Notamacropus eugenii: one gene and its partners. The protein of the gene in region 3 binds, or shares a complex with, the protein of the main gene of each other region. Links are inferred from orthologs where the notes say so. Each region holds a gene or a part of one and is shown on either strand. Other genes may lie near its edges. The genes, in order: BUD13, LSM7, SNRPD1 and USP39.

What was found.
Region 1: SNRPD1 (region 3) and BUD13 share a complex: the UniProt entries of both Homo sapiens proteins name them as parts of the minor spliceosome. The link is inferred for Notamacropus eugenii from reciprocal best matches to the Homo sapiens genes SNRPD1 and BUD13.
Region 2: SNRPD1 (region 3) and LSM7 share a complex: the UniProt entries of both Homo sapiens proteins name them as parts of the U4/U6-U5 tri-snRNP complex. The link is inferred for Notamacropus eugenii from reciprocal best matches to the Homo sapiens genes SNRPD1 and LSM7.
Region 4: SNRPD1 (region 3) and USP39 share a complex: the UniProt entries of both Homo sapiens proteins name them as parts of the U4/U6-U5 tri-snRNP complex. The link is inferred for Notamacropus eugenii from reciprocal best matches to the Homo sapiens genes SNRPD1 and USP39.

The regions. Positions count from the first base shown.
Region 1 is NC_092876.1:135,379,190-135,387,071, reverse strand, and holds the start of BUD13 (BUD13 homolog), read right to left. Parts: upstream 3,016-7,882; 5' UTR 2,904-3,015; coding exon 2,761-2,903; intron 895-2,760; coding exon 804-894; intron 1-803. UniProt on the Homo sapiens protein: Involved in pre-mRNA splicing as component of the activated spliceosome. As a component of the minor spliceosome, involved in the splicing of U12-type introns in pre-mRNAs.
Region 2 is NC_092875.1:63,776,689-63,783,773, reverse strand, and holds the start of LSM7 (U6 snRNA-associated Sm-like protein LSm7), read right to left. Parts: upstream 3,016-7,085; 5' UTR 2,768-3,015; coding exon 2,762-2,767; intron 2,645-2,761; coding exon 2,554-2,644; intron 1-2,553. Other genes in the region: SPPL2B (signal peptide peptidase-like 2B), read left to right, coding at 3,194-3,241. UniProt on the Homo sapiens protein: Plays a role in pre-mRNA splicing as component of the U4/U6-U5 tri-snRNP complex that is involved in spliceosome assembly, and as component of the precatalytic spliceosome (spliceosome B complex).
Region 3 is NC_092875.1:245,365,428-245,372,937, reverse strand, and holds the start of SNRPD1 (small nuclear ribonucleoprotein Sm D1), read right to left. Parts: upstream 3,013-7,510; 5' UTR 2,816-3,012; coding exon 2,802-2,815; intron 2,597-2,801; exon of another isoform or gene 1,619-2,596; intron 1-1,618. UniProt on the Homo sapiens protein: Plays a role in pre-mRNA splicing as a core component of the spliceosomal U1, U2, U4 and U5 small nuclear ribonucleoproteins (snRNPs), the building blocks of the spliceosome.
Region 4 is NC_092872.1:726,461,841-726,468,999, reverse strand, and holds the start of USP39 (ubiquitin carboxyl-terminal hydrolase 39), read left to right. Parts: upstream 1-4,155; 5' UTR 4,156-4,637; coding exon 4,638-5,085; intron 5,086-7,159. Other genes in the region: C1H2orf68 (UPF0561 protein C2orf68 homolog), read right to left, coding at 1,049-1,212, 1,827-1,933.

The DNA of each region.
Region 1 (7,882 bases), on a different chromosome or scaffold from region 3:
CAAGGGTCACCTTCCGGAAGAGGCTTCTGCTGATCCTCTCAACTGTTAATGTTATTCCCAATGGAAATTATTTATATTTACTATGTATCTATTTATTTGTATTAGTGTTGCTTGTTACCCCCAAAAATGCTCTCCCCCAATCACAATACTTAAGCTCCTTAAAGGCAGGAAGGAACAGTTTCCTTTCTGTCTTTGTATGCCCAGAACCTAGCCTGGTACCTGGCACATAGGGAGCCTTTAATAAATGTCTGCCGGCTTGTTTACTTGCTTGATGAATGAATGAATGAATGAATGAATGAACAGAGGCATCAAGCTATTAAGTGGTAAGAGGAGAGCAAAAGTTTCTTTAGAGTTGTTATGCATGTTTTCTTACATTTTTCAGTGGAGAATTGCAAACATAAACTAAATACAGTTTTGGCTGAGCAAAAACACACACTTGGAAAGTCACTCCCTCTGTGTGATTGCTTCCTCACTATTAGGAGGATGATGCTCCTAATGAAATGAGTATAGCACAACTATTAATTAACATTTTGTTACAATTTTAAGCAAAGCATCATTGCTTCTCTGTTCCCACCACTTTCCATTCACCCATAGCATTAAGAGTTGGGGTCCACTTAATGCCTGACCTTGGGGAAGTCGATCAATTTCTCTGAACCGATATTGTCTCGTCTATAAAATGAGGTTAGACAAGACAATCTCCAAAGTTCTTTCTAAGCTCTAAATTCTGTGATCTTATAACCAAATGAAAGGAATCTGCTTGAAGCAAACACAAGTTCCTAAGCGCGTATTACTCCCAAACTTACCACAGGCAAATCTCCCTCCTCTTCCTCTTCTTCTTTTTCTAACTTAGTAGAAATATTTGCCCAGCTCACATCATCATCCACAATCCTCATCCTACAGAAAATAGTCAGAAAAAAGAACTATTTTCAAGATGAGAACCAACAACATTCTAGGAGACCCAAACAGTTGCTCAGAAATAAGTCAGAGAGAGGCATGAGCAGACAGAGAGAAGCCCCATTTAGTTTGCCCTTTTCCTGCAAAGCCAACATCTCTAAGACTGAAGAATTTAGGAAAAGTTAACTTTGAAAAGTTACTCTGAAAGAGACTGGGAACAGGATGGAACACAAATCCCCAACCACAACCAGTGGGCTATCTCCTACTTCAAAGCCCAAAAGTTTGGATTCCCAGCCTGAAATCCTACCTCTGGGCCTAATTCCACTGCCGTGTTTTTCACTGGCCCCCTTGGTACTCTTCTCCCCAGGCCCACCCCCCAAACACCCCCTGCCCTTTAACTTCTGAAGCATTTCATCCCAAACTTCAGGTTGGATCCTCCCAGTTCACTCCTCAAGGTCTGGGAGGGAATGAGAGAAAAGGAGTGTATCCAGGGCTCAGGTCACTGAGGAGATACAAAGGGAGAGACAAGGAACTGAATTTGGTGACTAAGAGAGGGCAACATGGTCAACAGAGAGGAAACTGATCTGGCCCAGAAGCTGGGTTGATTTGAATGGGGCACATGGGTGTCAGGAAGGAAGAGGGTACAGAGGGGAGTAAATAGGGAGAACTGTGGGCTTGGAGAAGAGAGGGGACAAGGTGGGAAAGAGGGCCATCTACATAAGGCCAGAGCCTAAGCTCATGGGAAAAAGACAGTCAGATGAAAGGAATGACAAAGAGACAGTCACAGCCTTCAGCGCCAGGAGAGAGCACAGTTGTGATGGGGGGGACCAAGGAGCCAGGGCAGGAGGAAGGCCACAGCCTAGGGTCACTGGTGCTTGCCTAACTTTCCAGTTTCCACAGAGAGCACCAGCACCCTCCCAGGCACCCAGGCTCAAAGTGCTTTCTCACCACCTGCACATCCAATCCGGTACCAAGTCTCGTCTCTACCTTTACAGCTGCTCCTGTAGTTCCATCCTTTCAGTCTTGTCTGACTCTTCAGGACCCCATTCGGGGTTTTCTTGGCAAAGATAGTGGAGAGGTTTGCCAGTTCCTTCTCCAGCTCATTGTACAGATGAGGAAACTGAGGCAAACAGGGTTAAGGGACTTGCCCGGGGTCACTGGGCTAGGAAGACTCTGGGGCCGGATCTGAATTCAGGAAGGTGAGTCTTCCTGCCTCGAGGCCTGGCACTCTACCCACTGTGCCCCCCGCTGCCCCTTCTACCTTCACAACCTCTCTGCTTTCTGGCACCGCTGACAGGCCCCGTGTCCTTCCCACTCCCGGCCATCCTCCCTTGGGCTGTCAGTGATCTCCCCGAGGCTGCCCGGCTTCCCCTGGGGACACCCCCGCCTTCACCTTCTTTCTGTGCAGGGCGCCGTCTGACACGCGGCCCCCACCCCAGCCCTCCATAAAGCTCCGGGAAAGTCACGACCCGAGCCCCCCTTTCCTGTCTCCGTATTCCTGACACCCGGGCGCTGCCCCTCGCAGTGCCCCCGGCGCTCCGCCCGCGCCTCGCCAGTCTCCTCGCGGCAGCTCGGAGCTCGAGTTCCAGGAGGGCGCTCCCGGCTCGGCCCGGCTGTGCCCGGCGGCTCGGGCTGGGGCCCCCCCGGCGCTGGGCGCGGAGCCGGGCACCCCGTGCCGCCCAGGAGGCAGTGCGGGCGCTCTGGGGCGGAGGAGGCCGGGGCTGAGCGGCTCGGCCCGCGGACACACGGACACGCGGACACGCGGACACACACACACGGACACACACACACACGGACACACACACACACGGACACACACGGACACACAAACACACACACTCACACACACACTCCCCCTTGGCTCACCCTTTCCCTCCGGCACCCGTCGGCTTCGGCCGTTTCTTGCGGCGCTTACGACTAGGCTCCGACCCCGCATCGGCAGCTGCCTCGGGCCCCGACAAGTAACGCTTCAGATACTCAGCCTTGGAGAGCGGCGGGGCAGCCGCCATGGCAGCGGAGGAAGCGGAGGAGAACCGGAACCGAGCTACGGCGCGGCGCGGGACACAAACTTAACCGCAACGCCAAACGTTCCCGGCGGGCCTGCAGGGGGTGGAGCTAGGACTCCCGGGCAGCGCAGACAGAGCGAGGGGAGCATCTGATTGGTCCCTGGCTGTGGGCGTGGCCCCGCTCCTGCTCTTGCTCAGCCCGGGGAAGCGGGCGGGGCCACAACGGCCCCAGCAAAGCAGCGGCCCGGGGTTTGGGGGAGCGGGGCGGGGAGCGGGGCGGGGAGGAATACAAGGGGGGGGGGGGGGGCCGTGGGAAGAGAGACGTAGGGGAATGAAACCGGGGCAGTGGAGGGAGAAGGACGGCTGCCCCACGCCACGTGGGCGGGACTGGGTCCGTGGTAACGCCTTTCCCTCTATTACAGCTTTGTTTTGGAGTTCCGAATTCTGCCCCCCCTCTCGCCTCTGCCCCCGTCTGCCCGTCTTACGTGTGAAGTCACGCAGCATCATGTTGCCCCCAAAATAAACAAACGAAACGAACAAAGTGTGCTTCAGCCTGCACGGGAGTCCTCCGCTCTCCTTCCCCGGCGTGGGTAGCCCTGCCCGTCATGAGCCAGAGAGCACATATCGGGAGTCAGACATGATGAGTCTGCGGTGCCAGGTGGGCATCGAGCGTACGTGCCCTGTCGAAGGAACTGACCCAGTTACACGAACGAGGACAAGCAGGCAAAGCCTGTGGGCGCACATCTAAGCTAGCAACCATCAGACCAAGAAAGGCCTCTACATCACAAGTCATCGAGTTAGTGCCATGGCAGTTTTTGGAAGGGCCGTGGGAAAGCCAGCACCCTCCATGTGCCATGGGGGAGCTGTGAATTGGTCAGAAACTCTACTGGAAAGCAGTTTGTCCCCAGATGATGCCCCCAAAGTCACTACACTACACGCGTCCTTGGCACTACTAGGCCCATATTCCACATAGCTCCTCTATACACAAGAACATTCATAGCAGCTCTTGGTTGTGGCAAAGAAGTGGACACCAGGGCTGCCCACCGATTGAGGAACGACTGAACAAATTATGATATGAAAACAGAATGGAATATTGTGCCAGAAGAAACGACAAAAGGGATGGTTTCAGAGAAACAGAAGACTTCTTGAAGTGGTGCACAGTAAAGCCAGCGGAACCTGGGGAACAATATACATAATGTTGTGAAGAAAAGCAACTTTGAAAGACGTAAGGATGCTATTTAATGCGATGACCAACTATAATTTTGGAGGACTGATGTGATAAAGCATACTGCCCATTTCCTGAGATAATGAACTCAAGTTGTAGGAAAAGACTTTTTTGGATATGACTAATATGGGAACTTGTTTTAAACCGGCTGCGCAAATCTGTTACAAAGCCTTTGTTTTTTTATTTTTTATTTTTTCAGTTTGGGGGAGGGCAGAGGAGGAGCCAGGGACAAGATAGCCCATCAAAAAAGAAAAAGAGTCACTAGAATTTTTAAATGCACAGAAGAGAACAGTAGGAAAACAAGAAAAAAATCAGACAAGGCAGCTTTGAAATTGCATATTCAATCTATTATATTATTTAATTTTACATAATAGAGATCGTTTCATTTACAGTCCTCTTTTCTATTCTGCTATGTGCATAGCCTATTTTATTTGGTGTTTAAATTCCTAATTTTTCAAAATTAATCTTTTAAAATCAATTGCAGGGATGATGACTATGACATGGTTGAAGCCCTGGCAGTAAATGAGATTGCCAATGGAAAAAATGTGAAGATGAGAAGAGACCCTTGGGGAACCCCCATAATAAGGGGTAAAGGGCATCATCATCAATATCGTAAGTAGTGTTACATAGCATGTTAGGGTTTACAAAACTCTACAAATATCTTTACACAGTTGGAGATAGGTGCTGTTATGGTCATCATTCTGTCATTGTCAAGAGGAAAGAGCTGAGAGATTAAGTGACTTGTCTGGGGTTACACAGCTAATAAAGTGTTTGAGTAGGATTTGAGCTCAGCTCCAACACTAGCTCCTGAGGTTAGTAGCCAATGAAAAAGACCAAGAACAGCTTAGAAATGTAGGCTCTAAAACCAATAAAGCATACAGTAGAAGTGATTGGTCAACAGTATAAAAGGTGGCAAACAGGTCAAGGAGAATGAGAAATTGGTCAATCCACAAGTATTTATTAAGCCCTTACTGTATTAGGCACTGGGGATGCAAGTACAAAGAGTGAAACAGATCCTACTCATAATGAACTTAGATTCTAATGGAGAAGACAATTCCATATCAAAATACATAGTAAATAAATACAAATATATACAAAATAGTGGAATGTAAAGTACTTTAGGAAGGAGGGCACTAGCAATGAGAGGAATGCGGAAATACTTCATTTGAAGATGGTGCCTGAACAGCATCATAAAGGAAGGTAGACTACTTTGGGATGACCAAGACAAAGGCATGCAAAACGGAGTTAGAGTGTCATGTGTCAGGAACAGAGAGAAGGTCAGTTTGGCTGTTTCACAAAGTGCAGGATGGAGAGAAATGCCTAAGTAGGCTGGAAAGACAGGTTAGAGCCAGGAAGTGAAGGTCTTTGAAAGCTAAACAGAGTTTATCTTTTTATCCTTGAGGCACTAGGAAGACATTGAAGTTGGTTGAGTAGGGGAATCATGGTCAGATCTACATTTAAGGAAAACTATTTTGGTAGCAGCATGTAGGAGTGGGGAGACACTTGAAGCAGAGAGATTAATAAGGAGCTGTTACAGTAATCTAACTGCAAGGTGATAAAGGCCCGAACAAAGGTGGCAGCTCTGTGACTGGAGAGGTCAGAAAGAAAAGATATGAATATAGAATGGCACGATTTGGCAACTGATTGGATATGTGATATGTAAGAAAGTTCAGGACAAATGTCAAGATTTCAATCCAAGACACTGAAAGAATGGAGGTTTCCTTGACAGAAATAGCCAAGTTTGCAAGAGAGAAAGTTTGCAATGAAAAAACCAAGTTTAGTTTTAGACATGTTAGTCTCTGGAACATCCAGTTTGAAATATCTAACTGGCCTTTGGTATCAGGGACTGAAACTCAGTGGCTTAGAGACTAAAAGTGGATATAAATAAATCTGGGAGGTATCTGCCCAGAGATGGAACTATGGAAATGGAAAAATCCATGGAATTTATTGATAAAGAGCTCTTCAGTGACTTTTAGGAGAAAAAGGCTTAGGTAGAACCTATTCGGTAGAATAGTGCTGCAAGAAGACAAATTAACTAAGTGTACAAGAGCAAGCAGATGGTGCCATGAAGTAGAGGCACCCATTTCAAATGTGATTAGTGATAGGGAGAAAGGAGGGTAGCTGAATGGATGAAAAGGCTCAAGGAAAGGCTTTTGGTTCCTATGGGAGGACCTGTCTGTAAAATGAGGGGATTCAGTTAGATAATCTGCATGGCAATTCAACTGAATTAAAAGTTGAATTGAAAATAATTTGAAGATTTTTAGTTCAATATGATTCAACATTATATGGCAAGTGAAACGCTAATGTGTCCAGGGCACATTAAGAGCATACCACTTAGGACGAGGGAAGTGAGCATCCCACCCTATTCTAACCTGGTCAAAACACTTTTGGAATACAATGTTCAGTTCTAGACACAATTTATGAAGGACATGGATAAACTGGTGAGAAGTGCATAAAAAGGCCAGCTGGAATGGTGAAGTGTTTAAAGATCATGCCATATGAAGAAATAGAAGAACTTGGACTATTTGGTTCCAAGAATAATGATCTCATAGACTTAGAACTGCAAAGAACCTTGGAAGAAAGAAAACACAGCAGTCAGGCTATGTATCCCATCAGCCCCTCTGTATGTTAGCATACATTTATGGAAATTGTTGTGGATTTCATACTGAAAACTTTTTTTCCACTTGTGTCCAAAAAACTGTTTACAATCTAACTTGTACATGATGAATTACCAAGTTTTTAAAACCATCATGTCATCTTTTATTCCTCCTTGCAGAGACTGCAGCTATGAAGGAAGGTTGGTTACCTGTAGATCATTTCAAGCTCACACCTAGTCTAACTAGGTTGATTTGTTGTGTACCTGTTAATGCTTATTACTTTTAACCAATCAGATCTTTTGCTGCATAATGTTACTTAGGAAAAACTCTTCTGGTATGTTAACAGATGCACCTAATTAAAAATATATAAATTAGTCTAAGAAAAAACTTGGATTATGAGTTTTATGTCCTATGATGGAGTTTCACAAGATGAGGAGAGAACCTTGTTCTGGATTGCAGAGAGGTAGCAATAGAATTCCAAAGTCCAGTGACAGGATGTACAGTAGAAGCAATAATTATGTAAGACTTAAAAGCCAAAGAATTATTCTTCTGAGGTAAAGTGTTTTCAGAAGGCTGATTTGCATAATATACTGATGTGCAAGGTGGATAAATGGAGACCACTTGCAGGTACTAAAATTCTTCCTGGTTTTTTCCTGCTCCATATTTTTAAAGTTAAAAGGAAAACTCTACAGGTATGTTGTAGTGATTTTAGGTCCTGGAAGGTTCTCCTTTCTGGGTCATGGTATTCTTAGGCCCATATTGCTAGTTATTACAATTTCTTTGGCAGAGAAAAAGGTGCAGTTAAGTTCCCCTCCCTAATATCAACTCATTCCTGCATTGTAGCTTTCTTATATGGAGCAGTTTCCTATTTCCTGAGGGCTACATATTAGAGTGAAGATCAAGTTATTCTATAAAAAGATTAGCATCGTGCCAATAACAACGAACAAAAAATATTTTTTTAAAGTACCAGGTTCTACTTTACTGACATCTCCAAGAAAAGCTTATCATTGTTACAGACAAATCTTGCTAATTACAATATGGTTACACTAGCACTGTAAGGTCTCTTCCAACACATATCTGTGAGTCTGTGACATGTTACCAGGTAGAAAAGGAGGAACAGAGACCCAAAATACACTTAAGAAGGGTGAGAGGACCCAGTA
Region 2 (7,085 bases), about 180 Mb from region 3:
AACAAAACTCTCAAAAACACGCATTCCAAAACACAGTCTAACAGGACATGCTTTGTTTTATACCTGACTTGTAATTTCATTGTTCTAGGGAACTCCTGATGCAGGTTAGGGGCACTGAGAAGTTAAACGATTTGCCCTGGTCACAGAGGCTGGTATTGAGCCTAGGTCATCCCAGTTCCGAGGCCAGCTTCACATCCATGAAGCCAACACCCTCTTTTATCTTGCTCATAGACTTAGGGATTTGTTTTACTGTTTATATTTTCAAGCCTTGGTGTGGTGGGAGGGACGTGGGGTCTGGAGCCAGAAGACCAGAGTCCAGCTCCAATTTTGCTACTAACAACCTGAGTAACTTTGAGTCATAGACTCTCTCTGGGTCTCTGATCTCTTCATCAGTGAAATGAAGAGAGATGACCTCCTAGGTTCTTTCCAGGAGGTCTCTATCTAGGATCCTACTGAGTATTCCTTAGGGGAAAAGGACCCAATCTTAACTCAGACACATTATCTACCCCAGCACCCCGAAAGACAGGGATCCACACATAGTGCTGGAGTATCAGGGAAGATTACAGGACACCCTTAAATCAAGGTTTATTGAAGGACTATCTATTACAAGATATTGGACATTATTTATGCTTGCATTACAAACTGCAAACCCTGCCCTGCCACTGCTACAGAACTACAGAGACTACTAAACATACCTACTGTGTGTTTATTGTTTATTATTATTTATTTTTTAAATTAAATTATTTATTATTAATTGTTTGTTAATGTTTATTGAATGACAATTACCTATTATGATTATGTGTCTTATCTAAATATTGCAGGTCGAGCAGCAGGTAGTCAAGGTATGCTCCATGACTGTCATGACTTACACTTATGTCTCTTCCCTCTATGTGGGGGGGAGCTCCATAAAGAGAGAGTCTGTGTAAATTTGTGCAAAGGTGTACACACACACAAGCACGCACGCACGCACACAGCAGGTGCCTCATCAATGTTTGTTGAGTATCATGCTATTTTTTTATATTTCTATTCCTGGGGCACAACACTGACTTTGCACATTCTTTTCCACATGGAAACTGCCTCCCTTGCTATTAACTGACAACAACTCACCTATAATAACTTACAGAAGAGGTTCTTCACCTATGGTCTGTGAACTTTAAAAAAAGAAATTCTTTGATAATTTGTTTCAATGGAATTGGTTCCCTTTATAATCCCATGTTGTTTAATTTTGTGCATTTAAAAATATGATTCTGATTGAAGCAGACCATTTTCTTTTGTATTATGTTTTGTTTTATGGTTTCTCCCATTCATTTTAATTCTCCTATGCAACATGACTAAGGTGAAAATGTATTTAATAGGAATGTATGTGTAGAACCTATATAAGAGTGTCTGCTGTCTCAGGGAGAAGTGGGGAGGGAGGGGGGAAGGAGCAGGAAGGAAGAGGGAAAGAGCCAGAGGAAGGGGAAAAAAAATCTAAGCTATATGGAAGTGATTGTAGAACACTGAAAACAAAATAATTTAATAAAAAAATAAAATAAAATATTATTCTGAGGAATCTGTAGGCTTCACCAAACTACTAGTCACCCAACTTGGAAAGTGACCTGGGGTACAGAAGTTAAGTGATTTACTCCTGCATGGTCAAAAAGCCAGTCTGTATCAAGGCTGGAAATTAGGATTCTCTCTGGGTCACTGAGCTGGCACTCTCCCAGATAGAGTGTGGATCTGTGATCTCACCAACACCAGGACGGAATGTCAGCAAAAATCTCATTTTCCAGGAGGCCTTTCCTGATCTCCCCTTATGTTAATGCCTTCCCTCTACTGAAAATCTCCAGTGTATCCTGGACAAAGTCTGTCTGCCCGGTTCTTTTCACATTATCTCCCCCACTGGACGGTGAGACACCTGAGAGCAGAGGCTTCTTTGCTTTTGTCAGCTCAGGGCCTGACTTACCGATGACAGTATCTGTACAGCACAAGTATCTCCCTGAATCTCCGTTTTACAGCAGAAAAGGCGGATTTGCTCAGTGGCCCTGCTGCTAAGTATCTGCGCTCGGAGTCCCATCTTCCAGACTTCGGGGTCCACTGCTCTACCTACCTACCGCACGACCTAGCGCACAGCATACCGTAGGTGCTTAATAAGTGCTCGTTGTCCGACTGACTTCCAGAATGCAGATCAACAACTCCTAGTCTCAGAAAGCTGACGAGCACCGAAAGGTAGTGACCTGTCTGCAAGTGTCTAGCAGGCCTTCCTGACTCCTAGGCCGAGGGCGGCCTCTCTACCCGGTACACAGTTGGCACCTGTGCCCTGGATTGACTCTGCCTTCCAGGCTCTTGGCCCGCCCAGACGATGAGCACGCTCCCTGGGGGCAGGGACCCAGAAGGCGCGGACCTACCAGAGCCCCGGAGAGAAATGAATGGAGAGCGCTCCAGAAGCCAGGGAGGTCCCACCGGAATGTACCACCTGCCGAGGCAGGCGGGGGGGGGGGGGTGTGAGGGGAGGACGGAGACCCTGGGTCAGACCATGTGACGGGAACGACGGGGGGGCGGGGTCCTTCTTACCCTCTCGGCCTCCCTGGAACTTCACGCGGATGGTCTTGTCGATGTACTTGGAGAGGTCCAAGATGCTCTCCTTCTTCTTCTTCTCCTTGTCCTGCAGAGAAAGCACAGCGGATCAGGGGCCCGGGCCTCCGAGCGCCGGGTCCGTCAGTCCGTCCCCCTCCCGCCCCAGCGGCGGCAGCGGCTGCAGCGTATCCCCCCCTCGGCTCACCGCCATGTTGCAGCCGTCAGGGTCCCCTTTGCGTCCGGCGCCTGCGCCCTTTCACCTCTTGGCGCAAGCTTCGGCGTTAACGTCAGGGACGCGCTTGCGCAGATGGGGCAGGAGCCTAGGGTTGGAGGCGGAGCCCGGAGGTTGCTGGGTAACGCCTGGCAGCGCTGTGGCGGCGGCCGCGGCAGCGTCGTCGGCTCGCCGCCATCTTGCTTTCGTCACAATCCGCCTCGTGAGTCGCGCCCCGGCCTTTCACCCTGCACCCGGGCCCTGCGGAAGTGTGACGCGCGTGCGCAGGCGCACGCGGCCGCGGAGCGGCGCTGAGGCACGAGGGGGCTAAGAAGCGGGGCCCAGGGCTTGCTGGGTAACGTCCGGCAGCTGAGGCTGCGGGGAAGGGAGGCCGGAGCCGTGGGGCCCTGGGGATCTCGGGCGAACATGGCGGTACTGGTGCGGCTGCTGCCGGGACTTCTCCTCATAGCGCAGGTGAGGGGGAGGGGGAGGCCTGGCTCCTTCTTCCTCCGGCTCCCCTCAGCGGCCCGGGCCGCCTAGTAGGCCCTAGCCCGGCCTCGCTGCACCGCGGCCCGGTATGCCCCACGTCTCTAACTCCCCCAGGTTAGGCCGGCGAACCCCATCCTCCTTTGCCCCGCGAGGCCGCCTCGTCTTACCCTGGAGGAACTTGAGCCCCAGACCTCCCATAAGCTTTAGGAGCGGCGGGTCCTCCGAGCCCCTCTTTCCGGCTGGTGTCTTTTACTCACTTTTTTCTCACAGATGAGGAAACTGAGTCAGCGCCGGCCAACAGGTCCGCTTCCCAGCATGCCTTGCTCCTTCCTCCCTCTTGGTCGTTCCTTGAGTCCCTACCCATCTTTTTAAACTCATCGCTTCTTATAAACGTGAAGCACACTTAGCCCAGTAAGACTTGTGGGACACTCTGTGTCCCTCAGCTAAACCCAAATTAATTTTACATAAAACTAACAAACTCGTCCCTCCCAAATTCACCCCTGGACCTCTCAGCACTTTGGGCCTCTCCGTTGAAGTGCTGTGTTATCCTCCTCACTGCGCCGTGTTTATCGTGTGGTATTTGAACTTTACACCTTGCACACTGTAGTATCCTGGTCAGGGGTCACACTTCTGTCCTTCCCCTTTTACAAGTGAAAAGCAGACTTAGGGTCAGGCACCGTCAGTAAGCATCTATTAAATAAGTCCCTGCTGCATCCCAGAGCGATCTGAAGCGAGACACTGACTCACGTAAATGACTCCCTTAAAGGCACACAGTACGTCAGGGCCAGCATGTGAAGGTAAGTCTCCTGTCCTCCAAGTCCAGTAATGTTGTCCCTACGTTTAGACCTCTTTCCAAAAGCTCATAATCCCACCCCAGAGCCCTGCTAGGCTGAAGCTCCCTGAATCAGTAATACCCACATGTTAATAATACGCTTATTTATACTTAAAGGTTTTATGATTTATGCAGTTTATAAAGTACTTTGTTATCTAATTTGCTCTGTGAGGGATATCATACAAATATACCTGTTTTATAGAAAGGTTAACTTTTTATGGTTATGGAATGGAAAACTTCCATTTTTTTCCCCTGGCAAAATTAAGGGGTTAAACGACATGTTCTCTTCCCACTCATAAGTCCTTTGGGGATTTATACAGTGATTGCCTGGCACCCAGTTATTGACTGTCCTTTGTGGTTCATTCTTCTAAATTAAAGTGAGTTAAAATTCACTCTTGTTTGGAGGAAAGAATTTACCATATGCAGTAGAAACAGGATGTAATTTATAGTGGGGTTTGAACCTTGGGCAAGTCATTTCACTTCTCTTGGCCTCAGTTTTTTTTGTTGTTGTTTTCTTTTTTTAAACTGTCAGTGTGAGGGCATTGAACTAAATGGCCTATGAATCGATAATCCTGTGGACATTTTGGTGACACCTGAATGACATGGTTTCACAAAACCGTGGCTGGGAATCACTGCTCACTGAACTATTGTTTCAACTTCCAGATTCTGCTAGTAATCTAGACTTGAATTCCCTCTGGAACTGTGGTGGTCACTGAGTGCCTTTGTACTGGTGATTTGCTTTACCAGGGTGAGAAATACTCTTCTCTAAAATTCACTAAAAGGTTATGGGTAAATCATCTCACATCACACTTTTCCAAAGTCAGAAGACCTTGGCAAAGTTGCACCTTTAGCCTCATGTGTATTTTGTGTTTATCTACAATATTCCATTAAATCTTTTTTTCTTTTACTGAGACAGTGTGGTTTAGTGCAGAGAATACTAGACTTTGAGTTGGTAGACATGGTTTCAATCCTGACTGATGGTTTACTAGTTGAATTATCTACCATGGGAAAGCTACTAAATGTCTCTGAGTAATGATTCTGATCATCTTTCAGACTGATAGACTTGCAGTTGGATGGGCAATCTTTAGAGCTCATTTATCTATATGAATAGTGCTGTACTGATAAATGTTTAACAACTGGCTCTCCAGAAAAAATGTACCCATGACACACACTTGAGTTTAATATTAGTTATCAGTATTTTCATTACTTTCTTAAATCTAGACAATCAACAAAGAAATCAAATTATGATTTTATAACCTCTTCTGATTTGTGAGCTGTAAAAATGCTTATATTGAAAATGTAACCGTCAACTCATGCATAGGTTTGATCTGGATCCAGCATACCTCTAAGGAGTACACAGATCTGAGATAAGATGTTGCAGATAGATGAGTCTGGCTAAGAACTGAACTGGAGGAATAGAGCAGGCAGCATTGCCTTTGGGTGATTGTGCAGGTTGTTTTATTTTGTTATTTTTTTTAACAATCTCCCCCCAGGATGAAGGCCTATTTTGTTTTTAATGTCAGTATTCTTGCAGTGATGAAAAATGTTGCTAGTCATGCAGTAGTGTGTAGCCTCTGAAGAACTGAGGTCAGAAATCGTGCAAGGAGCGATGGAGACTGTGTAATTCATCACAAGTTATGCAAGAGAAGTGGTGTGAAGGACATCATCACTGAAAATCAGATCTCAGACCACGTTGTAAAGTGCAATAGACTTACAAGCCATTTGGTAGTTTAGTTAGATAGTTTAATTAAACTAAGACCAAGAAGCAGTTGAACACAGCCCAGTTAACCAAAATACAAACCACTTTAGGAAAGAGCTCACATTTAACAAGACCTGCTGGGAACATTGGAAAGCAATTCAGCAGAAATTAAATTTAGATCAACCTCTTATACTACATGCCACAATAAGCTCCAAATTGTTTAAGAAAAAAAAACCTAAAAAGAGGAGAATGAAAGGGGAGATACCTTTCAAATCTGTAGTTAGAAAAGACTCTTAACACATAACCAAGAAATAGTGGCGATCTTGAAAGATAAAAATAGTCACTTTGAGTCATAAAATTAAAAAAACTTTGCACAAGCAAAATCAGTGTAAAAAATGAAGCTATTTGTAGACACTCAATTGGGGGAAAATCTTTATACTATCTCTGATAAAAGTCTGACCTTTAAGATATATGTGATCAAAAACCATTCCCTAATAAAGTGGTAAAAAGGTATAAACAGTTTTTTAAAAGAAATGCAAGTACTATAAGGTACTCTAAATCAGGGCTTCTTAAACTTTTTCCGCTGCAGACCACTTTTCGAAATGTTCTTGGCTCTTCGTGGGCTTGAAGGCATGTGAAGTACAAAGTTCGTATGTCGTGTTCAGAACCAAGGCTGCAATGAAGTTGTACCATGCACCCATGGGCAAGCAAAGCCAGAAACACCTTGGAGTCATTACATTTTTGATCTTTTAATTTATTTTTGATTCTTATGTGTTCAGAAATCTTTTACGGTTGCCAATTTTTTCACAATTAAAGAAGCACTACTCTAAATTACTAAATTGGGGGTTGGACCAGAGACATCCCGGATGAAACCCTGTGCCATGCAAGTAAGCAAACAACTTCTGTTTGACTTAAAGAGTCTTAGAGAGTGACCTAGAGGACCAAGAAGCTAACTGACTTGGCCAAGCTTTCATTGCCTGCTGTGTGTGACAAAGGGAGGACTTAAGGGTGTTTGTAATTCTGAGACCCAGCTCTTTATCCACTACCTACAGTGGCTCTCAATCCTTAATATGAAAAAAAAATGCAAATTAAAACAGCTATAAGGTTTCACCCACCAAATTGGCAAATTTCATTTTTAAAATGGTAATAGTAACTGAAGGGGTTATGGAAAAACAAATACATTATTAATACAGTACCTCTGGTGAATCTGCGAATTAGTCCCTCTCATCAAGAAAACAGATTTGGAACTGTGTGAAAAACAGTCAAACCCTTTGTTGACCTCTGGGCAACAATCATCC
Region 3 (7,510 bases):
CTGCACTTGAGGATCTAGAGGGCCACAATTAGCCAGGAGGACACAAGTTCTCCACCCCCGCTCAAAGTGTTCCAACACCTTTTTTAAGTCAGGAGAAATTTAGTAATATTGAGGTCAAAGAACCATAATGTTAAGGTTAGAGGTGCTTGGGACCCCAAAATGCCAACATCCTAGATCCTGGTTGAATGAATTTCACCTAAGCCTTCTTTCAGCCAAAGTAAAACAAAGTTTATTAAAGATTCACCATGTTGGGTTGACTCTTAAGAATCCTCAAGATTTGTGACACGCAAGCAGGCCAGACAGAATCTGAGCTAGAATGAATGTCAGCACTTTCAAGGAGACAAGAATCTTAATTACAGAAAGACTGTAGAAGGGATCTGGGGGTGGTCTAGTAGTCTGGGGTGATGGGAGGAGGGGTTTAGGGAGGGTCGTGAGGAAGAATGTAAGGAGGATCTTGCTGAGACTGAGGTGACAAGAGGTCAGAACCAAGAGGGTGGGATTTTGATGTGATCAAGGGTGGGAAACAGCAGGCAATGGGGAGGCAACAGACAATGGAGGACCTAGGCTAGATTAAGAGTAACAGATTTGGGCATGAAAAAAAGATTAAGTGGGAAGATTCAAGGGGGTTCCCAGAATCTGTACCCCATCATTACAGATCTCTAGTATAATGGTTAGACACCGTCAAATTTATGGAATGACATTGACAAAAGGTATACAGTACCAACAAGGAATGGTGGTTGTAATCTGCAGAGACTAAGGGAACATCTAACCCAATTAAAGATCCATTTGAATATTCCATGTAACACTAAATTTCACATATCTGATTAAAAAAACTATACATCTAGAACTGTAAAGAACATTAAAGGAAATCTAGTCCACCTTCTGTGTTTTGCAGATGAATGAATGGATGCTCACAGAGCTTAAGTGAGTTGGCCAATAGCATGCAGACAGAGGTGGCAGTGCAATAAACTGGCACCTAAATTCTTTAAATACAAGTAGAGTGCCATTGTCCCTTTTACTGCAAGGGCAGTTTCATCATTTTTGTCTGGATACATATTGGTTTCTACCAGTATAGTATAAGCTCCTTGAAGGCAGGGTCTGCTTGGGATTTTTTTTTGCCTTGTACGCCTAGTAAAACGCACTTAATAAATGATTGTTTATTGACTGATGAAAAGCTTGAAGTAAGCAGAAAGGGCAATGTTAAGCACAGTCATCTTGCAAAAGAGGTCTACAAATGCCACATCTGGTTATCTGAGTGAGTCTGGGTAGTTATACAAAAGTTACATTCCAAAACTTCAAATTCTGATTCTTAGTCCCATTTCTCTAGACACAGAGAACTTATACATACCACTTCCAGGGTTGGCAAATATAGAAATTTTTGTATGATATTTTTTCAGATTGATTTTATTCAGTTACTCTCTTGAATGAAGTTCCCCTACTGCACAATTCCCTGAATTGAACCCTGTCTTCTTCCTTTTAAAAGATATCTTAGACAAAAGCATCCTCTATATTTCCGAGGGGCAAGCAAGATTGGAGTTCTAAAGCTGAAAGAAAATTCCCCTTAGTCTACTCTACATCTGAGTGGGTTCAGAGTTAAGTGCTTTAGTCTGAATCATACCTTTATCTTAAGGAAATGTAGCAATCATTTTAAATGCAGCTGAGAGGCAATTACTGTGCTCTAATGCTAGAAGACAAGGAGAAACTGGCTAAATATAAAACCTGTCGTAGCACTTTATAGTTCCCAACAGTGCAGAGTTGGGATCTGGAAACCTGGTACACCCCGACTCTCCGTGTGTGCTTCGAATACTACGGCTGGCTCAGAGTAATAAGCTGGCTTCAATGACTCCTTCAAACTTTAACTGGAACCATCTGATGTAAAGTTTAATCCTTTAAGTTTATCCGATTCTAAGGAGTTGTGGGCTGTGGGAAATGCTGAATTGGGTAGAAACAGCCAAAGATGGAAGGAGAGGACATCTAATGGTATAATGGGTTTCCAAATAATGGACCGCAGGGCCCAGGCATTTTGTAAAGTTCCGTAAAGGCCCCAGTTGAAGGAACTGACGTTTTTAGTAGTCAGACCCCGCCTCGGCTTTCGGGCTTTAGCCGATAGAAAACACAAAGGCCAAGCCACCCAGGGGGTCCCCCGTCCGTTTCTCAGGTGCTTCTTCCTGCCCGCTGCCGCGCCCCCGAATTCCCAGGCCCTGCCCCCGGGGTCCAAGCGGAAGGCGCAATACTGGGCCTAGCGCCGGAGGAGCCGGACGCCACTTGGCATTCATAGGTCTCACTTTTCTCAAGCGTAAAATGGCAAGGCGAGGGGGCCCCCTGTCTTTTAAGTCCTTTCGAGCTCTAACCCTACGGTTCCACCACGTGAAAGCGGTCAGACGGTTTTGGAACAGGGTTAAGAAAGGCCCAGACCAAAGGGCCCCAGAAGCGAGGGCAGGGGGCCGGGGGCCGGGGGCCCGGGGCCCGGGGCCCAGGACCCGCGCCGCGGCGTCTCGCGAGAGCCTAGAAGCTAACGGCCAGGCCCACGAGTCCCCGTCGGACAACGGCCGCACAACGCCGGTCGCGAGGAGGGAAGCCTCGCCCCGCCCAGGGCGGTCGTTTTCGGGGCACGAGCCGCAGCGCGAGGCGCCGCGCGGGCGGGAGAGCGGGCCGAGGGCGGGGAAGGGCCGCCGTTGTCCCGGCCTATCTCGCGTGCACACGCCACTTTGGCGCCTATTCTGACTGGCCGCACGGCGTCTGGCGACAAACCTCCAAACCCGACCCTACTGCGGCGGCCGGCGCTCTCGCCGTCTCCTCACCTCACGAGCTTCATCCTTCACGGAGCCGTCGACTTTTCGGTCTTACAGGTCGCAAAATCACGACCCCAGGGCGCTAACAGGGGCTGAGGGAATGAATGGCCGGAAGCACTTCCACCAAGAGAACCGGAAGTAGAAAACCCGACTGGAGGAAAACTCGAGACGGCTCTGAGGCGGGGGGAGCGGGTACTTTCCAGGAGCATGTTGTTGCTGCGGCTCCCCCTGGAGGGCGACGGTGCAAATGTCCGCAAGAGCTCGGCCGGGATGTTCACTGTTGGTCTTGGGGGAAAGCAATGTCTCTCTCCTCTTTAGTAAAAACCTCAGGTTATCGGTCATACTCCCGTCTTGCCCGGGATGCACAAAGCCAAAGTTTGGATAAGTTGAGCAAAAACAAGTGCTTTCTGTAATTGATCTTAAAGAAGGAATCCCATTTATTGGAATTTCCGAACTGTGCCTGATGGATCTGTGCCCATACTTACATGTGTGTACGTGGTAGCAGAGTGGATAGTGCTGGGCTGACGTCAGGAAGGATCATCTTGCTGAGTGACCCTGGGCACGTCCCTTCACCCTGTCTGCCTCAGTTCCCTCATCTGTAAAATGAGCTGGAGAAGGAAATGGCAAACCTCTCCAGGATCTCTGCCAAGAAGACCCCAAGTGGGGTCACCAAGAGTTAGGACATAACTGAAAAGGACTGAAACAAGTGAAAAGAGTAGATATTAGTTATTGAAAAAATGTAATTCGTAACAAGTCTGTGTTTGCAATATATTAAAATTAAATCCATCAAGCATTCATTAAGTAACAGTTACTGCTAGGCACTGGGAATAAAGGCAAAAGTGAAATCAATCAAAAGATTTCATGAAGAGCTGAATTTTGAAAAAAGCAAATGTATGGGGTTGTGTTTTAGGGAATGAAGCTATCTATCTCCATTTATAACTGTGGCACCTTGGGTGGGCAGGGGAAGATAAGCCACTTAATTCAGAAGTTTTACCCAGAAAGCGGTGCTTTTTGTCTAACTACACAAATCTACTGCAGTGGGGTCTGAATTAATGAAGTTTCATTTGTTCCCTGGGAAGATGTAGGCAAGCATAGAGAGTGGGGGGATAGGTAATGCACAGAGTGGCAAAACAGTGCCCCAAGGTGTAAAGAAGGGGCGGTTGTTAAAGTAGGTGGATAAAAGTTGTAATGGGGATGTGGTGAGAAGGGAAGAGGATCAGGTAAGACTGTGGAAAGAGTGGCATTGGAGCAAGCCATTAAAGGATAGTCAGGCATTCAGCAAGCAAAGAAAGGGAACATTCTAGACACAGCAAACGGAGCAAAAGCTAAAAGGAAGAAAAATTCAGCATATTAGTGAGTCAAGCATATATGAAGTTCTTACTATGCACTAGACACTGTGCTAAACACGGGGGATGCAAAGAAAGGCATTCTCTCAAGGAACTCCCAATCTAATTTGGGAAAATGATACATAACTATATACAAACAAGCTACGTAGATAGAAAATAAGTAAAAGGCGGAAGGAATCGGGATTAAGCGGAGTTGGGAAAGACTTCCCAAAGAAGGATTTTTAGTTGGGACTTAAAGGAAGCTCTTTTAGTGAGTTGTCACTCATGGAAGGATGGTGAAAAAGTATGATGCTCTTTTTAGCAACATATATTACATTCTTTCCTGAAACACAGTTCCCTTAAGTATGTAAATAGCTGTACTAATGAGGTCTGTTCTCCTTGTAGGATTTAGGGTTTCCCCGTCTAAAACGGTAGAGAACAGTAACAATATGAGAGGTTTCCCCTCTCAGGCTAGGAGTGTTGGTAAAAGGCAATAAACCCAGAACGCTTCTTTACATAAGAGGATTCTGCCTTTCTTCAGTCAGTTTGCAATAGCTATAGCATTCTCTTCCAATCAAATAGTTCCCTGCGTCAACTACAAAGCATGTCTTTTAGCTAGTTTCAGTGCTTGTTATTTCCTTATATCTTCTTTGAGCTGCTTCCCTTGTCATTTTCTAAGTCTTCTGTCCCCTTCTCCTGCTTTTTCTCTGGTTACTTCTGACTTTTAATCAGGCGCTCTTCATGAGTAGTGCCCCATCTCTGATTCAGGTTGAAAAAAAAAACAAAATCCACAATTCTATCGATATGGCACAAACTGAAGATTTTCCCAGAGTTCACAAGCTGCTCTTATAACTTCTCACCTGTTTCCTTCAAAATACTGAAAATTGTCATATGTAAATAAGCTGATGGATAGCAATGAGTTCTAGCCATCCCCAGCTTCAGCATAAGAGAGACTGTTCTATCTGGTCCTCTTAGAAAAGTCTCTGTTTCTCCCCTAGTACTTTTATCTGATGGGCTGCATTTCCTCTCAAGCTGATTTTTATCAGTGCTCATACACAATTGTCCCTTTTCTGCTCCTTTCAGTCACCAAAATGTCTGCATCATAAAAGGACAGAACCTATAAAATGATGGGTTTGGACTAGATGATCTCTAAGGTCCCTTTCAACTGTATCCTAGGATCTAAGAGGCATATAAAACCTTGATTATGTACAGCACATGCTTTGCTGATCAGCAGTAAGAAATGTAAAAATAACAGGACTAAATATAGTCCCACTGCATAGTGGAAGTGAATAAATTAATAGGGTGGAATATAACCCCATGTACAAAAGAATGCTGGGAACTTACTAAGATAATCATTTTACATTAGAATACTATGAAAATGGATTGAATTCAAATGAATAGAAGCCTTATTGATGAGAGTATTCCTCCTAATGACAGAGATGGAAATCATTCATTTTGGCTTATCCTGTGTGGCTCTTGTCCATGTATATGGAAGGAGGATTTTGTTATCTTTTTTTAGTTTAGTTTCTCAGGATCCATGGCCATGGGAATGTCTAATTTCCAGGTGTTAGAAAATAAATCCCAGAATAACCCCAAGGATATTAATTCTCAGAATCATAGTGACAGAGAGGCCTACCGAGGCTGCTCCAGGAGATAAGGGGTAACATAATGTGACATTTACTACATTTGTGCAGAATAACAGTTTTGCTAAAGTTAACCTGTGAGCTTAATGTTGGAAAGATGCCTTCTTTGTCTAGTGCTTTATGAAGCAAGTGGGCAGTGGGCAATGAGTGGAAAACCACATACATACATAAGGAATACATGTACTTGCCTCAACCAGCCCCCATTGAGGCTTGAGGGGATTTAAGAGAGTGAACAAGCTATCCCTGTCTCAATTGACCCCGCTGAGACTAGGGGTAGTTGCCCCCACCACTCCCTTTGAGAAGGGTGATTAAGGAATGCTGTGGGAGCTGGTTCTCCCAACAATCATTTGAGAAGACTAGACTAGAATAAAGCTGATTATTAATCCCTCCAAAGTTGTCTGCCTGTCTGACCAGATTAAGAGTGAACCTGTTAGAGACCGAAAACTCCCGTGTCTTTCTCTGTATTATCTGTGAAACACCTTGTCTTCCAAAAAATTTGTTACAGGTATCCAACCAACACAACTCATGAAACAAGGGAATTAATACATTCAAGGAAAAATTAATGGAATATTCTGAATGATTATAGAATATGTATTTTTAAAAGTTAGGACAGGAAAACCAAATTTTAATTTTTCTACTTTATAATGAAAATAAATTCCAGTTCCCCAAAGACAAATATTAACTATAAGTTGGGTTACCTTATCCTATATTCCTCTGTTGGAATTATGGACAATCATTCCATAAAACCCAAAATGTAATGTGATGAGAAGATAAAACAAGTACAGATAAAAACCTGGATATGCCATTATATTATCTATGTAAACAGAGATTAGAGCAACCAAAATACTTGGCTTTTGAAAAGCAGTAGACCCTGTGTTTGAAATTTTAGCCAAAGAAATTTTAAAATGTCCCCTATAATATGCAAAACATGTATTTTAATTTAGAAGTAATGATTTATTTTATGACATCTGGGTCAACCTCCATTCACTAAAAGCAACATTTTGTCTTTTTTAAATTTTTATTGATATTTTCTAGTTTTACATAATAGTAGTAACTAATATTGATATAGTACTTAAAGTTTTGCAAAATGCTTGAATCTCACAACAGTCTTTTGAAGTAGCTGCTATCTTCATTTTACAGATGAGGAAACTGAGGCTGAGAGATTAAGTAATTTGCTGAGTTCTATAAGCCCGTTAAGTGACTGAGGCAGAAATAGAACTCTGGTCTACCTGAGTCACACAGGATGAACTTAGAGGAGAGCTAATGGATCAGGGCTGTTGGAGGGGATGACAGAATTTGAGACATGGAAGGAATCTCAACAGCCACCCAGTTCAATCTGGACAAACAAAATCCAGACTGCATCATACCTGACAAATAATGACATCTAGTCTAGTCTCTGCCTGACACTCTCCAAAAAGGGAGGTTGTCAGGCAGCACTTCAAGCAGCCCACTCCACCTGGACATACCTAGTTGTTTGTTTGTCTATTTTCCCCAGAGTCAAGCTTGAATTTGCTTTACCCACTATTCTTTATTTTGCCCTCTGGGGCCTCTTCCTCCACTTGACGGTCCTTTGAGTACTTGAAAACAACTACCATGCTCCTCTGTCTTTCTATTGGTTTCTTCAACTTATTCTCAAATGATTTGGACTCAAAGTCTTTCACAATCCTGATGGCTCTCCTCTGCAGACTCCCTAGATTATCAACATCCTTTTTCAACATTGGTTCACCAAACTGAACACAGATCTTTTCCA
Region 4 (7,159 bases), on a different chromosome or scaffold from region 3:
GCAATCCATACATATTCTCTCACCTTGCAAAAGCCCTGTTCCATACTTATGATATCCTCTTTTGACAGATGAAGAAACTAAGGCCCAGAGGTATTGATATAGTCAATAATTGTTAGAGCAAATGCCAGGCTTTGATTTAAAACCAGGTCCTGGCTTATGGTTGAGAAAATAGTTTCTTCACCGGTCAATAAGGAAGCTGCCTGGTAGGGAAGAATGCACCGGTTTTGAGGTCAGAGGTCTTGGGTTCAAATCATGCTCATGAGTTGTGTGGCCTTGGACAAGTCACCCTTCTTTGGCCTGCTTTCTTATTTATATGTAAAATAAGCAGGCTTTCTAGTAGATCTGAGGTCTTTTCCATTTCTAGATCTAGGATCCTATTAAATTATGGTAATAATAATAAACATTAATAGCCCTTTTGAAGTGCACCATTATCTCATTTTATCCTCACAACAACTCTGGGAGGTAAGAGCTGTTTTTATCCCATTTTACAGATGAGCAAACTAAGGCTAAGTGACTTGCTCAGGGTCACACACCTGGTAAGTGTGGAAGGCAGGATTCAAATTCCAGTCTTCCTGCCTCAGAAATCCGATGGTCTCATCCCATCATTTTACAGATGAAGAAACTGAGACCCGAAGACATTCAGTAACCTATTCAATCAAGGTCATGGAACTAGTAAATGACAGACAGAATTGGAAGCCAGGTCTTCCTGATGCCAGGTCCAATTTCCCAGCTTCTCACTCCCCAGTTGTGAAACCCTGTGAATAACTGAACCTTTTGCACCATCTGGAAAAGGAGGGGGCTGAACGTCATGGCGTCTTCCACATGTGGTGCTCAGGGCTCCCACTACCTACAGCAATTCCCCCTCCCTCTTTTTTGTAGGGTCACCCAGTTATTAAGTGACACCAGCAAGCCCTGGAGCCCAGGTCTTCCTGACTGTAGCCCAATGTTCTATCGGCTTCGAGGCCCCCAAAGATGCCAGGACCTGCCCAGCCACACACAGCTAGTTAGAGGCTCCTGGGGCGTAGACCCCTCTCGCTAACTCTCTCACCCCGGCTCCCAGTGGAGGACCCAGGCCGGCTCAGCCTTGCCTCGCCTCGCCGTCTGGGTAAGTACACCTGCTGGTCTGGCTTTCGGGGCCTCGTAGGGCCCGGGGTGAGTCGCCTCCGAACCTTCTCCTTGGCTGCCTGCTTCATCTTCTTGTCGTAATTATCTCTGCGGGTGGGACGGAGAGGGATTATGGGGAGAGGTCAGGGATCAGAGCGACCCCAATGAAGGAGGCCTCTGGGGAGGGGGTGGGGGGTTAGGGGTTAGGAGAAGGAGAGGCAGAGACTAGAGGGCTGGATCTAGGAGTAGGGGATGGGGAAGGGGCCTGAGGGCAGAGACTAGGAAGGGGTGCGGGGTTCCAGGGGAGAAGGCGAGGGACAAGGGACAGGAACCCAGGGGCTGGAAACCTGGAAGGGACCGGGGGAGAGGGGTCTAGAGTAGGACAGAAGGCAGGGACCTAGGCTTTTAAAGGTTTGGGGCAGAGGGAGGGGGTGGGGGAGGGACCAGGGGGCTTAAGTGGGGGGAACAGGGTTAGGGACCCGGAGGTAGCTGGAAGGTGGGTAGGGGGCAGGAGGAACTGGGTCAGGAGGACAGAGGGCGGGGACCCCGGTGGAGGGGGCGGGGAACGGGCCAAAAGGCTCAGACTAGTTCAGAAGGCAGGGGCCCTGGGTACAGGGGCTGGGGGGGAGGGAGGATCTGGGGCTGGGAACCGGGGGCAGCGAAGGGCGGGTGGGGGCGCGGGGAGAGCCCGAGGCAGGGTCCGGGCCCTGGCCGGGCCGCACCGGGCGATCTGGTTCCGCCGGATGTGGTGCACAAAGCCGTGGCTCATGTCCAGTCGCCCCCCCGGTTTGCAGCAGCAGCGCCGGCCCGGACCCGGCTCCGCTTCCATTGGGGCGCTCCGGGAGCTCCGGGGGGGGGAAAAAGCCAACGCCGCCCCCGCCGCCAGAGCAACCGTCACTCGCGGAGGCCTTCCCCTCCCCCGGCCCCCTGCCCGCCCGCCAGCTCCCCGACTGGCCCCGCCCCTCTCCGTCCCCATTGGCCGCTTTTCTCCCCACCTCCCCCGCGGTCCCAGGGCTGGCCCCGCCCCCGTGCGAGGCGGGGGCTAGTGCTCTCTTCCTTCGCCAGTCTCTTCTGTTTACTTTGTGTACACTTTGTAAATACTTTGTATTTACCCGCCTCTGTGTGCGTCCCTATTCTCCCCACCTAGTATAAAGGATTGAGGGAATGAAGGAATGTTATTCAGCACTTTCCACTGTGCGAAGCGAGGGAACTGCAGATGGAAGACAGACAGTTTCTGATCGCTAGCAAATCCAAGGAGTCCATCAACGAGAATTCTTCAAGTGCTCTGGGTTTGCCAGACACTCCATTAAAAGTTTGAGATAAGAAAGGCAATAAACGTCCCCTGCCCTCAAGGAGCTCTTGAGGGAGAGACAACGGGCAAACAACTATGTATGTAAGTACAGGATCTTAGGGGTCAGGCAGCTGCAGTATTGCTGACAAGGCCCAATAGAACTGTAAGTTTCTTGAGTCAGATATTGCCCTCTTCCCCCATCACCAGGGTATCCCGAGCTCCTTAACTTGACCTTTGCCCCAACCCCACTTCTGTCCTCAGCACAGACTCCTCTTTGCCAGTCTAGGGCTTGGAGATGGAAGAGAGACAGAATCTCAACATCCATTCTAACTCCCTCAATTCAATTTACCTTAACAAGGCACAACTTAAGAGACAGACACAAAGAAAACAGGCCTGCTTTCAAGGACCTTACCCACTCATTTTATAGGTGAGGAAATTAAGGCCCAGTCAATCAATTAATCAACAAACATCATCCAGTGCCTACTATATGCCAGATCATGCATGTCACCCCTATCCCCTCTCACTAAACTCCAGCAGCTTCCTATTTGCCTCCAGGAGAAAAAATGGTCTATTTGGCATTCACCTCCCCAACATCTACTCTTCCATACAGTGATGATGCCTTTCAGGCTGTTCTATGAACAATCCTCCATCTCAGTTTCCACCATTTGCTCTGACTCTCCCTTATGTATGAAAAACTTTTCCTTTCTCTGCTCTAACCTTCCTGACTTCCTTTAAGTCTCCACTAAAATCTTACATTCTACAGGAAGCTTTTCTTGACTCTTCTTGATTCCAGAGTTTTCCCTCTGTTAATTATTTCCCATTTATCATGTGTATAGCTTGCTTTGTATATATTTTTATGTTGTCTGCTTCAGTAAAAAGCTTGAGGGGAGGGGCTGTCTTTTGTCTCTTTTTATATCCCTAGTGCTTACTTAGCACAGTGCCTGGCACTTAGTAGGCATTTAAGAAATGTTCTTTGAATTGAATCAAATAATTCCTTTGGGGACTACCCAGCTTTGAAATAACTTACTGTCTAAGAGTTGGGAGTGATTTTTTCAACCCAACAAAAGTTATTTCCTATGAGTCCTCATCTCCTTTTATACAATGGTCCAAAGACCCTATGATCTTTTTTAATTGATTAAGGACTATTCATATGGGGACAGTGGATAGAGTACCCAGCCTGAAGTCAGGAAGACTCATCTTCCTGAGTTCAAATCTGGCCTCAAACGCTTACTAGCTGTGTAACCTTTGGTAAATCACTTTATCCTGTTTACCTCAGTTTCCTCATTTGTTAAATGAGCTGGAGAAGGAAATGACAGACTATTCCAGTGTCTTTGCTAAGAAAACTCCAAATGGGGTCACAAAGAGTTAGACATGACTGAAAGATGACTGAACAACCAAAATTCCTATATCTTTTACTTTTGATACGATGAAGCCTTCAGACTGTCCTGTGACTAATTTTGGTGGGGTAGGCTGGACTCCTACCCATATATATTGATCATAGCTCTAGAGATGGAAAAGACCTTGGACCTCTAGTCCAATTTTCCACATGGATAAACTGAGGCCCAGAGAAATGTGAGTGACTTGCTCCTGGTCACACAAACAGTAAATGTCAGAACCAGGATTTTAGTTAAGGGCCAAAGACTCCAAGGTCAAGGCCCAAGTCAATCACAAAGAACTGGATTGTTGTAGACACTCATTCTTTTGGTGGGAACTATGATTTCACTGGTGTAGGGAACTAACTTCTTGACAATCAGTCTTTTTTTTTTTTTTTTTTGGTTTCTGTTTTCATGTCATATGCTTAATTTTCTCATTTTCCAAATGAATACCTTTATTTGTCAATCAGTCTGTTGACTTTTTTTTCCCATACTTAAAGTACTATTTGTCATACGGGATGGCTCTCAGGGAGGGGAGGGGCTGTTAAAATAGTGATGTTAGAAAGAGAAAACATAAATCAAAATTATTTTTAAAAAATTGGGCAATGGGATGTTTTCGCTGCCTCCATCGCAGCCTTTGAGGGACAGGACAGCATCATTCCATTATGCCTCATCAACCTAAGTAAAAATTTCTCCAGTCCTATGATGTTACCCCAGCATCTTGGGCCACTTAAGGGCTATCTGGCCCTTTAAATAAGAAACTGTGGATGATGAAGATGATTGGCCCATTCAGCGTCCGGAGCGGTGGGGCGGGAACCAATGAGAGCATCCAAGAGTCACACACGGAAGCCTGGGAAGCAGGTTTGTAGATGCGGGCCACAGCGCTAGAACCCTCGAACAGACGTTGCAGCGGATTGGCCAGAAGCGCTGCGGCTGATTGGCCAGCTGTGCTGCGCAGGCGCGGCACCGCGAGTGAGACCTCTGCGCCTGCGCGGAGAGGCGGCGGGGGCCGGTGGCCGGAGGGGATGTCTAGCCGTTCGAAAAGGGAGACGCGGAGCTCCGCCCGGGGCAAGCGGGATGCGGAGTCCCGGAGCAGCTCCAGTCGGTCGAAACGGGAGAGGGAGCGGGATTCGGACGGCATGGGGTCTCGGGGGAGCCCGGTGCGCGTGAAACGGGAACGGAACTCGGAGCCCGCGGCGCGAGACTCCTCGGGCGGGAGCGTGCCCGCGCTCGTGCCCGCGCCGCCGCTAGTGGGTTCGCGCGTAAAGCGGGAGCGCGAGGCCGACGAGGACTCGGAGCCGGAGCGGGAGGTGCGAGGTGCGCGGGGCCGGGACCGGGGCGTCCCCCATCCCCATCTCCATCCCCATCTCCATCCCCATCTTGCCAGCCCGGAGCTGGAAAGAGCCTCTGAGGACGGCCATCCTTTCCCCTTTTTTGTCCAGATGGGGAAACTGAGGGCCAGCAAGTGCTTGCTCCCTGCCCGGTTCTCGGGGTGGGGAAACTGCCCTGCCCGGCTACGTCATTACCCGCTAACCACGTGCAATTTAAATCCAGAGGGATGTCAGGGAGGAGAGGAAGGTCCTGGTCAGGTGGCGCAGTCCAAAGGGGCCTCGGATAGTGTCCGCTTGAACGGAACCTTGACCAAAGTTGGGGTGACATCCTGCCCGTCTCAGCGCCGGGGCTTGGGTGCAGCCCACCCTAAGCCTTCCCTGTGTTCTCTGCCTTCAGCCACATATTCCCTCCAGGGTTCTGGCCCCCGTGCCTTCCTGTCTTTGCTAGTGATCGATTTTCGACAGTTTTACTTTTTCCTTACTTGTTTGTGTACATGGGAGAGGAGGAACGCTAGACTTGAAGTCGGGAAGCTCAGGTCCCTCTGATCCTGGCCCTGGGGGACTGTGGGCTAGTCTCTTAATGTAGGCTCTCTTAGAGAACGTATATTAGAGCTAGATGGATGTTGGGAATTTCGACGCCAAAAAAAGTTGTGTCCTGCAGCAAAATGTAAGCTCCCTCTGAGGATAAGGGACTCTTCTATTTTTGTGTGCTCAGCGTTGAATACATTGCATTGTAACTAAAGGCGTGTTAAAAAAAATTACCTTTTCTTTTGTCCTTAAAAACCATCATAGATCATAGGTCAAGCGGGGATCTCAGAGGCCTGTCCAGTTTACTCTCATTTATAGAAGGGGAAACTGAGGATCAGGGAGGTTGAGTGACTTGGAATATGATATACAGGTAGTAAACCTCATAGATAGGACTTGACTCCAGATCTTCTGATTCCAGAACCAGAGTTCTCTCCACTTTTATAGCATTATCTAATGTGATCTTTTTTTACTTTTCACTCTTAGTATTATTATCGTCACTTTAATTCAGCTCAAGCAACAAACATTTATTAAACACTTACTATGTGCCAGGCACAGTATTGTGTTCTGGGGGTCAATGACAGAAATAAAAGTCCTTGCTTTCAGGTAGCGTATATTCTTTTGAGGAGATTTAACATATAAGGAAAAAAAGTGTGTGTAAATCATTTAAAGGTTTGCAGAAAGTAGTGTACAAACGTTAATTTGTTTGACACAACAGTCCCATGACGAAACAATCAGGTGCTATTATTTCATTTTACAGATGAGGAAACTGAGGCTGAGAGGTTAAATGACCTGCCCAGGGTCACTGTTAGGGTCTGAATTAGGATTTGAACTTGGCTCCCAGGCTTGACAGGTCCCTCGTGCCACCTCGCTTCCTAGATTAGATACTCTTAAGGGTGGGGATGGATGAAGAGTACATCTATATAAGAAAGGGTGTGACGAGGGCCAAGGAAGCATTTAGATAGAATGCTATAAGAAATTTGTGGAGAGAAGACCTTCTAGTTGGGAGGATAGGGAAGTCTGTAATAAACAGAGGCCACCAGAGCTGGGCTCGTAAGAACATTTTTTCAACAGGAGAAGGTAATATGTTCTAGTTCGGATGGATCGTAAAGGAAGTAGAATGAAATAAAATTGATCAGGTTAAAGTAAGTTGGAGTAAGATTCTGGACAGCCTTATATTAGAAGCTAAGAATTGGATTTTATCCAATAGGCCCTGAGGAACCAGTAAAAAATTTTGATGGAGGCAGCATATTGTAGCTGGGGCACTGGATTTAGAGTCAGAGAGATCTGAATTCAGATCCTGGTGCAGACATACGAGCTATGTGACCCAGCACAAGTCACTGATGCACTTTGAGGCTTCACTTTCCTTATCTGTAAGATGAAGGGATTGGACCTAATTGCTTCCAAGGGTCCTTCCAGTTCTTACTGTGCCCTGTGGGTGACTTGTGCAGGAGGAAGATGGTTTAGCAGTTCTGTGGAGGATGGATGGTAGAGGTCAGAGGCCTGTGCCCTGGCCCAGTTCAAATGCCATTAGA